2 linked regions of the Macaca fascicularis genome follow. The protein of the gene in region 1 purifies or fractionates together with the protein of each later gene. This does not show direct contact. Links are inferred from orthologs where the notes say so. Each region holds a gene or a part of one and is shown on either strand. Other genes may lie near its edges.

What was found.
Region 2: the proteins of ACAA2 (region 1) and PGD fractionate together in Homo sapiens (co-fractionation; 3 studies listed by BioGRID). This does not show direct contact. The link is inferred for Macaca fascicularis from reciprocal best matches to the Homo sapiens genes ACAA2 and PGD.

What each region holds. Positions count from the first base shown.
Region 1 is NC_088392.1:39,956,161-39,960,425, forward strand, and holds the start of ACAA2 (3-ketoacyl-CoA thiolase, mitochondrial), read left to right. Parts: upstream 1-1,429; 5' UTR 1,430-1,479; coding exon 1,480-1,495; intron 1,496-4,265. UniProt on the Homo sapiens protein: In the production of energy from fats, this is one of the enzymes that catalyzes the last step of the mitochondrial beta-oxidation pathway, an aerobic process breaking down fatty acids into acetyl-CoA.
Region 2 is NC_088375.1:224,412,965-224,417,434, reverse strand, and holds the start of PGD (6-phosphogluconate dehydrogenase, decarboxylating), read left to right. Parts: upstream 1-1,421; 5' UTR 1,422-1,470; coding exon 1,471-1,478; intron 1,479-1,979; coding exon 1,980-2,055; intron 2,056-2,735; coding exon 2,736-2,915; intron 2,916-4,470. UniProt on the Homo sapiens protein: Catalyzes the oxidative decarboxylation of 6-phosphogluconate to ribulose 5-phosphate and CO(2), with concomitant reduction of NADP to NADPH.

The sequences.
Region 1 (4,265 bases):
CGTGATCCCCCCACCTCAGCCTCCCAAAGTGCTAGGATTACAGGCGTGAGTCACGGCGCCCGGCCTATACATAAGCATTTGTGAAGCTTGTCTAAGATTTGTACATTTGATTGCATGGGTATTTTGCCTTAAAAAGAACTGTAAATGAATAATGTGTGCTGATGTGTTCATGGGTGTAGAGTACTAAGGTCTGCGTTAAAAAGATAAGATGGTTTGATGGAAGAACAGGTGGTCAGCAATATAGCAAAATGTTAACAGTTGGGTCGATATGCGTCCACTGTACAAGTCTTCCCACTTTTCTGTAAGTTTGAAAGTTTTCATAATACAAATTCGGATTTTAAAAAAACCCCACATTGCAAGAGTGTCACCAAAGCGTTTGAAAAGCAGGATTCTAGAGGGGGCATTCGCTGACGACTCAGAAAAACCGTCCATGCCACCCACCACCCCCACGCACTCAAAGAAGCCCTCGCTAGGCAACCCGGCCCTCCGAGCCCTGGTACCGAGGGGCTCTCCGCTTCTCCCTTGCCCCGGCCGCCTCCTGCTCGCCCGGCCTCAGTCTGTTCTCAGAACACACTCCATCACGTGGTTCCCATAACTCAGATTGCGCAGTGGTCTCGTCATCATCGGCCAGGGCTCACAGTGACCGCGGCAGAGGCCTCCCTAGACCTCCCTCCCGTCCAGCCTCACCTGCTGCCCCCTCTCCTCACGCCCCCGCTCCAGGTCCCCTGGCCCCACTTCGCTCGCCACGTTTTCATAATCCTCTCAGGCTCCGGGCAAGCTGCGCCGCCCGCAGTGGGACCTGATCATATAAGGAAAATACTACGGGCTCATCTGGGGGCTGCAATAGGGACCCGAAAGCGCCCTAGCCTACTACACTCACCGCACCCCAACTGCCGCCCACCTCTCCGCCCAGCCCTCAGTACAGCACCCAAGCGCAGTCGCGCGTCCAGATCGGCGACCAGAGCCTCTGCCCAGCGGACTGCGCAGCCGCCCGCTCCAGCCAATCCCGTCGCGCCTCCGCCGCGCCCCGCCCCCAGGACGTTCGGTTCCGCCCCCAGCTGGCGGCCGCCAGCGCGCCAAGTTCCTCTGGCCTGGGCTCCTGCCAGGTGTTTAGGGTTCTGGCGGAGACCAAAGGGAACAGTCATTCCCTCTCGGGGCTGGGATATGATGGGTGAGAGGTGTCAAACCAAATTCTCTCGGTTTGGAAACGGAGAAAATCTAAAAACGAGGACGTGAGGAAAGAGTCAGCCCTCAAGACGCGTAGTGGTCTACCCGAGCCCCGACCCCCGGGCTCCCTCGGGCTAGGGTGAGGCGGGCAGCCACGCGTGGAGTAGGATCATCTTACGCGGGAAGTAGGTGAAAGGGCAGGGGCGTGGCTCCCGGGGCGCCACCCACGCTCTTGAAATCTGGGTGACTGCAAGTGGCCGCTCTGCGTCCCCCAGACCAGAGACCCGCGCCGCCGACGACCCAGCCGCAGCCATGGCTCTGCTCCGAGGTGAGCGCAGCCCCCTCCTCTCCTCGCCCCTCGGGGTCCTGCCCTCCCCCGGCCAGGCCTCCGCTTCCGGCCGCCGCGGAGAGTCGGGGGTCGTGGGGTGAAGTTCACTCAACCTCCTCGGTTTTGGAGCGGAAGTGATAAAAACCCAGCCCGAAAGGCTTGTTTGGGTTAAGGAGAAAACCCTTACTTGTAAGACGCTAGCGACAGCGATTTCGATGCAATTTCCTGTTGACTTGAGACCAAAGTTTGCTTGCATGTGACCTTGGAGGTCATTCCTTTCTTCGCCTAACAGTGACTCCATTAGTTCGAGTCCAAGTATTAGGATAAATGGGGCGGCGCCATAGGCCGCTGGCGCTTGCTGCGGGGCAGCTGCACACAGGAGCCGGCTGCTGGGCCTCGGTGGGCAGGGCTCCCCGAGTGAATCGATGGCGTGGCCTGGCCACAGAAATGGTAGCTGGTGTTCTGCTGGAAGACCTGCCCTGCTCCCTTTTCCCTTCTGTTGCTTTAGTTTAGAGCAGCCACTCTATACCTAAGCTCTAGGGTTATGAACTTGTTTAAAACAACTGTGTAATAAACTCCCTTTTCAAAACAAATGGGCACAATCAATGGAATCTTACTTTAAGGATATACCGAGACGGGCGGATCACGAGGTCAGGAGATCGAGACCATCCTGGCTAACACGGTGAAATCCCGTCTCTACTAAAAACTACAAAAAATTAGCCGGGCGAGGTGGCGGGCGCCTGTAGTCCCAGCTACTCGGGAGGCTGAGGCAGGAGAATGGCGTGAACCCGGGAGGCGGAGCTTGCAGTGAGCTGAGATCCGGCCACTGCACTCCAGCCCGGGCGACAGAGCGAGACTCCGTCTCAAAAAAAAAAAGGATATACGTGTCGAAGAGCATTCAGGTGGAACACTATCGAGGCCCTGAGACAGGAAAAAGCTTGGCAGGATCTAAGAACCAAGCATTTTGGTGCTCCAGGGCCCTGTGAACTCTGTAAGAAGGTGGGATTTTGTTCCAAATTCAGTGGAAGGCAATAGAGGGATTTAAAGCGGGGTAATGACAGGATCTGATTTCCACTCTGTCCGGATTTGGGGCGGTCTGTGTAATGGCGAAGAGACCATTTAAGGATCTATTGCAGAGGTCCAGGGAGCAGCAAATGATGGCTTTGACTCGTGTGGGGCAGTGTAATTGGGGAGAAAAGGGGAGGGCTGAGTTGAGATAGATTTGGGGTGGTTTTGTTAGAAAGTAGATTGGGTGTGGTGGAGTAAATATAAGCAGGAAATGTCAAGAATGATGAAAAGTGCCTGGTTTGATGAACAGTGTTCATGATGATGCCACTTACAGAGTGAGGAAAATTGGGAAAGGAATAGATGTGGAAAGGAGGATTGAGCATTCAGTTTTAGGCAGAAAACTTTTTGGTGCCTGTGAAGCAGCCAAGTGGAGATGCCAGCTAAGAATTGGTTAGGGGGATCTGAAAGTCAGAAGAACCAAAGTGGCTTGAGAACAAATGAAGGGAAAAATCGGTATTCTGGAACCAAATGCAGTGTTTATAGTTTCCTGCAACGTGGATTTCATTTGCCAGTGCCCTTCCTGACTGAATTTACTACGTTTACTTCATAAAGCAGCATGGTGAATTTTTTTTAGACGAGGCATTTCCACTTCATTTAAAAGGTGCATTGTCATGAGCTATCTTCTTAAAAAGGAAATAATAGTTTTACTGATGTCATTTTAATATTTTATCAGTGGTTCTTACCCTTTCTTGTAATACAGACCCATTTGAAAATTTCACAAATACTATGAACTCAGAAAGGAAAAAAATGCACATTGACATCTGTATTAAGGAAGTAGAAAGTTTATAAATTTCTGGTACAGTTTACTGTAGTGTTAGAGCTAGTGATCGTATTTTTTTCCATTTCCTTATCATAGCAATTAGGACGCTCATGTGGAGAGAGGTAAAGTGGTTGTGTATAATAACACAGGTAGTTAGTGGCTGTGACTAGAACCCAAGCCTTGAGCTTGAAATAGTGATGTTACAGGCCGGCTAGAATCATTAAAGATACGCTTCTCTCAAGCAGCATACAAAGTGTTTGCAGGGTGGGTGGGAAGAAAGAAGAGCATGTGACTGATTATAGGGAAAAGGACACATTTGAGTTAAAATTTGTTAAGGATTATCATTAATTTGTCAGATTTCACTCAACAAGAAGAACAGTTCTAGGTTTTTATTAGCTCCCATCCTAGTACTTGGCAGGAGGTTTTCACTTAGATCTTAGCTCTCCTACTGCTCCTGACTTTGTTGGGAATGTTTGTGTATTTTTTCAAGGCGAGTGGGCAGGGCTGCTAAATTACCTTAATCCTGAAACACCGGGATAATTTGCCCTAGTTGCTGCCTGAAGTCGCTGGTACTAAGTGAATATTTACCTAACAATGTGATAGAAAGGTAGAGCTGTTTCTTTCCTAGTGGTGCTTTTCCTGTACTGTCAACTCAGCACATCTTCCCAGGCCCTTTCTTGGAGCTACTTGGACTCACTACACTCTGGGTTAATATGTCTCTTCACTGTCTTTCGGTCTTGGGAAATTTTTAGCCTCTGAATTTTCAGGGTGTTTTACAATAAATGAGATTTCAGTTTGGTGTTAAAGATTGTTAAGTTTTAGACCTTTTAGTATCCACGTAAAATTGACATCAAATGAAAATTGACATGGCATACAATTTATGAAATTAAAAGAAAAAACCTTTAAACCTTTATAGTCTTTGTATCTGCGCATCCCAGATTT
Region 2 (4,470 bases), on another chromosome or scaffold:
TCTAATCCCAGCACTTTGGGAGACTGAGGCAGGTGGATCACTTGAGGTCAGGAGTTCGAGACCAGCCTCGCCAACGTGGTGAAACCCTGTCTCTACGAAAAATAAAAAAAATTAGCTGGGTATGGTAACATGTGCTTGTAGTCCCAGCTACTAGGGAGGCTGAAGCAGGAGACTCGCTTGAACCTGGGAGGTGGAGGTTGCAGTGAGCCGAGATCACGCCACTGCCCTGCAGCCTGGAGACAGAGCAAGACTCCATCTCAGCAACAACAAAAAAAGCCGGGCATGGTGGCTCATGCCTGTAATCTCAGCACTCTGGGAGGCCGAGACGGGCGGATCACGAGGTCAGGAGTTTCAGACTAGCCTGGCCAAGATGGTGAAACCCCGTCTCTACTAAAAATACAAAAATTAGCTGGGCGTGGTGGAAGGCGCCTGTAATCCCAGCTACTTGGGAGGCTGAGGCAGGAAAATTGCTTGAACCCGGGAGGCGGAGGTTGTAGTGAGCTGAGATCACACCACTGCACTCCAGCCCGGGCAATAGTGCGAGACTCCGTCTCAAAAAAAAAAAAAAAAAAAAAAAAAATCTAAAACTCAAACTTTTGAATAACAATTTCCTCCTAGCAAGAAGGGACTCAGTAAGATGAATAGCGCTGCTTGGCCACTTTGCAAATATCTTTAATGTCTGGCTTAAGATGGCTGGATTTTCATATCTGCCTCTGCATTTAACCCGGTCCATCTCGTGGGTCACATAGCCTCTGCAAAATGCGAAGGGGTTCAGTGCCATTATCTCCGGGCCTGGGTAAAAGACTCAAGTCCTGGCCCCATCATACTCCCACCAATACATACCACGCCTGCGCTGTCTGCGCCTGGGGCTCGTCACCCGCAGTGAGCGGTCGCACGGCCCCACATCAGGATCGCCCTGAGGCTCAGCCTTTCCCGGCCCCATTCCGAGTGCGTACAGGACAGAACCAGCACGCCAGGCCTCTGCCCCAGAGCAGAGGGCCACGATGCGGACCCGCACAGTGCACCGCAGTGACCTGAGGAAGGAGCGACGGACGCTGGCGCCAAAGGCGTCCGAGTGCCTGGTAAACTGTAAAGCGCAGTCCTGCGTGAGTTGCTATAGCTACGGCTGCGCCAGACGCACAGCTTGCAGGACCCAGGTGCAGGTGGGAGGAGCGGAAAACTCTGCGCGTGGGCGGGGAGCCCCGACCCTCGCCGGGGCCACGTCAATCTAGGTGCTCGGCGCTCTACTGATCCGGCCCCCGGGAGTGGGCGGGCACGTTTGCCTCGGATGGTCTAACAGGCGTAGGAGAGAGCCAATGGCGTGGCTCACAGCTCCACCCCTTCTATTCGATTGGCCGGCGCCGAAAAGCCGGGCGTGAGAGCCGCAGCCTCTGGAGGGAGCCGCAGCGGGTCTCTCCCTCACTCACTCTCCGCGCTTCCCCGCTCTTCGGTTCTGCTCTGTCCGCCGCCATGGCCCAGTGAGTGACTCGCCAGGCGCAGCCGGGCTCGGCCTCAGCGGGCGGGGAACTTTTTGGGGGTCGGGATCTCCCTCGTTCTCTCCGACGCCTCCCATCCTGGAGGTCGCCTGAGCTCATTTGGGGTTCTGGGACCCTCGTCCTGCGGCGTCTCGGGCCCGGAGCTCCTTCCCTGCGGGCCCGGCCCCCTGCTCTCTTGGCCGCGCAGGCTCGGGGCGGGGCGGGTCCTTTCGACGGCCAGGGAGGAGGCGCGGCCAGGCCTCGCCGAGTCTGCAGGGACACCTGCGGGACGCGTGCCAGCCGGAGTCGGGCGCGAGGGCGGGGCTGGGGGCCGCCTGCCCGGCAGAGGCTCTGCAGCTTGCGCGCCCGGCTTCGGGGGGCCCCGGAGGCGCGGAGGAAAGTGCAAACTCCCACTCACGGCCAAACGGGGAAGGACCGGGCCCCTGGATTTCAGCGCGTCGAGCGGCGCTGACTCTTTCCTTTGTTCTGTTTCTGCCTCTCCAGAGCTGACATCGCGCTGATCGGATTGGCCGTCATGGGCCAGAACTTAATTCTGAACATGAATGACCATGGCTTTGTGGTAAGCCGCGCGGGCGCATTGTCTTCTCTTTGGTTCCCGGGCTAAGAGGCCGGCGATGGGTCTGGGAGCTCACGGGTCTCCTGGCCGTGCTTTGCGAATGCGGTCTGTTGCTGCTCATGTCTTTTTGTATGGAAAGGAGAAGCACCCTGTAGGCTTGGGCGGGCCGATCCCGACCTTAGTCCGGCGGAGTGTGCCTGTGGGTCCGTGAGGTTCACAGCGCGAATGAACGGATTAGTGTCTAGTAGAGACGAAGGGTGCGGGAGGAGAACCCCTGCTGGCTGTGTAGAGCTCTAACTTGATTGCCTGATGAGATCTGGGGAGAGTGAAAATGTTTCTTCTAAATGCTAAAGTGGCTTAGACGCCAGGATGATCAGTAGCAACAGACAGAGCCTGTTGAACCAGCCGGTTCCTGGATTTGATTTTGAGTCCTAACAGGTTGGTTGTGGATTCTACCTGATAACGCCGGGGGTAGTTGGTCTTCGCCTCGGTTCTCTGCCAGTTTCATTCTACTGAGGTGACATAACTTTACAGTGAGCCTCCCACAGCTTGGGGAGGAAAAGGCAAAGGCAGATCTGACCTCCCCAGAACTTGGGCTGAATGGAAAGGTCATTGTTACTTGGGCCACAGTCTGAAGGTCTTATGTGTCCTGGATCTCCTACTCAGGCCTTTTGTCCTTCTAGGTCTGTGCTTTTAATAGGACTGTCTCCAAAGTTGATGATTTCTTGGCCAATGAGGCAAAGGGAACCAAAGTGGTGGGTGCTCAGTCCCTGAAAGAGATGGTCTCCAAGCTGAAGAAGCCGCGGCGGATCATCCTCCTGGTGAAGGCTGGGCAAGCTGTGGATGATTTCATCGAAAAATTGGTGAGGCCAGCTCTGCTCTCAGCTGCTACCACGATAACAGCTGGTTTTGGTTTCTTCCTTTCTCCTTTTAACTCCAGAGATTTTGTTTTTCCAATTTCTGCTAAATTCTGACCAAATGATTGCTTAACTGTCGCAGTGTTGGTTAACTTGATCGGCACTTATGAAGTAACTTTGTGCTTTGGTGGTAGTAATTCTGAGAATACTAACAGACATTTCAAGAAAAATTCATTAAGGCAGGGCACAGTGGCTCAGGCCTGTAATCCCAGCACTTTGGGAGGCTGGTTCAGATGGATCACTTGAGCCCAGGAGTTCGAGACCAGCCTGGGCAACATGGCGAAACCCTGTCTTTACATAAAATAAAAAAAATTAGCTGGGTATGGTGGTGGAAGCTTATGATCCCAGGTTCAAGACCAGCCTGGCCAGCATGGTGAAACCCCATCTCTACTAAAAATATAAAAATTAGCTGGGTGTTGTGGTGCACACCTGTAATCCCAGTTACTCGGAAGGCTGAAGAATGAGAATCACTTGAACCTGGGAGGCAGAGGTTACAGTGACCTGAGATCGTGCCACTTCAGTCTGGGCAACAGAGTGAGACTCTGTCTCAAAAAAAATGAAAATAAAATCAAGATCTTCTTAGGGAATCCTAGGGAACTGGATGCTTATTTTTGTACCAAACAATTTGTTGGCTTTAGCAGGTGTATCTTTTTTGGAAAAAAAAATGTAGGGGAACCAGTGAAAATAATGTATTTAGATACCCCAAAATAATTCTGTAGTAACAGCCCTGAAAAAACCCAGGCGCTACCCATTTAGAAGAAATGTTTTGCTGTAAGCAGTGCAGTGGTACCTCAGGGGAGGCTGAGCATTCCTTTTCTAGAGGAGTGACTTCTTTTCTAGAGGAGTGGCATCAACGGTGAGGTTGTTTCCACAGGAAGATGGATTTGTAACCAGTATGCCACTGTTTTTCAAACAGATGACCTAGAAAGGAAGAACACTGAGTTTAAAAAAAGGACATAGTAAATTTTTTGTGTGGCAAGCTGCCTGTGCTCAGTTTTAGACAGAGAAAACTGAAAAATGGTGGATTATTCTTCAGTATAGGAAAATAGTAAGTAATGTTAACTGGAGCCTTGTAGGGGGAAGATTGAGTAATAAATAATAAAGCCCAGCCTGGTTGGTGTGCTGTAGGTAGATATTCATGTTCAAGGCTCTGTCTCTTCCTGATCTCTGAACTGTGGTCATAAAATCATTCATTCATACACTAAAACATTTGATACGTATTTACTGAATCCCCACTCTATTCTAGACACAGACATTACAGTCAGTGTTTAATCTATTTACTTACTTAAAAATAGAAACGGGGTCTTGCTATGCTGTCCAGGCTGGTCTCAAACTCCTGGGCTCAAGCGATTGGCCTGCCTCAACCTCCCAAAGTGTTGGGATTACAGGTGTGAGCCACTGAGCCCCGTCAGCCCTAAACTTTTAGATAGAGTCCAACTCTAGCCACAGAGAGGATTATTGAAGATTAAATAGGCTGGGTCTATTGGCCCCCTGCCAAGCC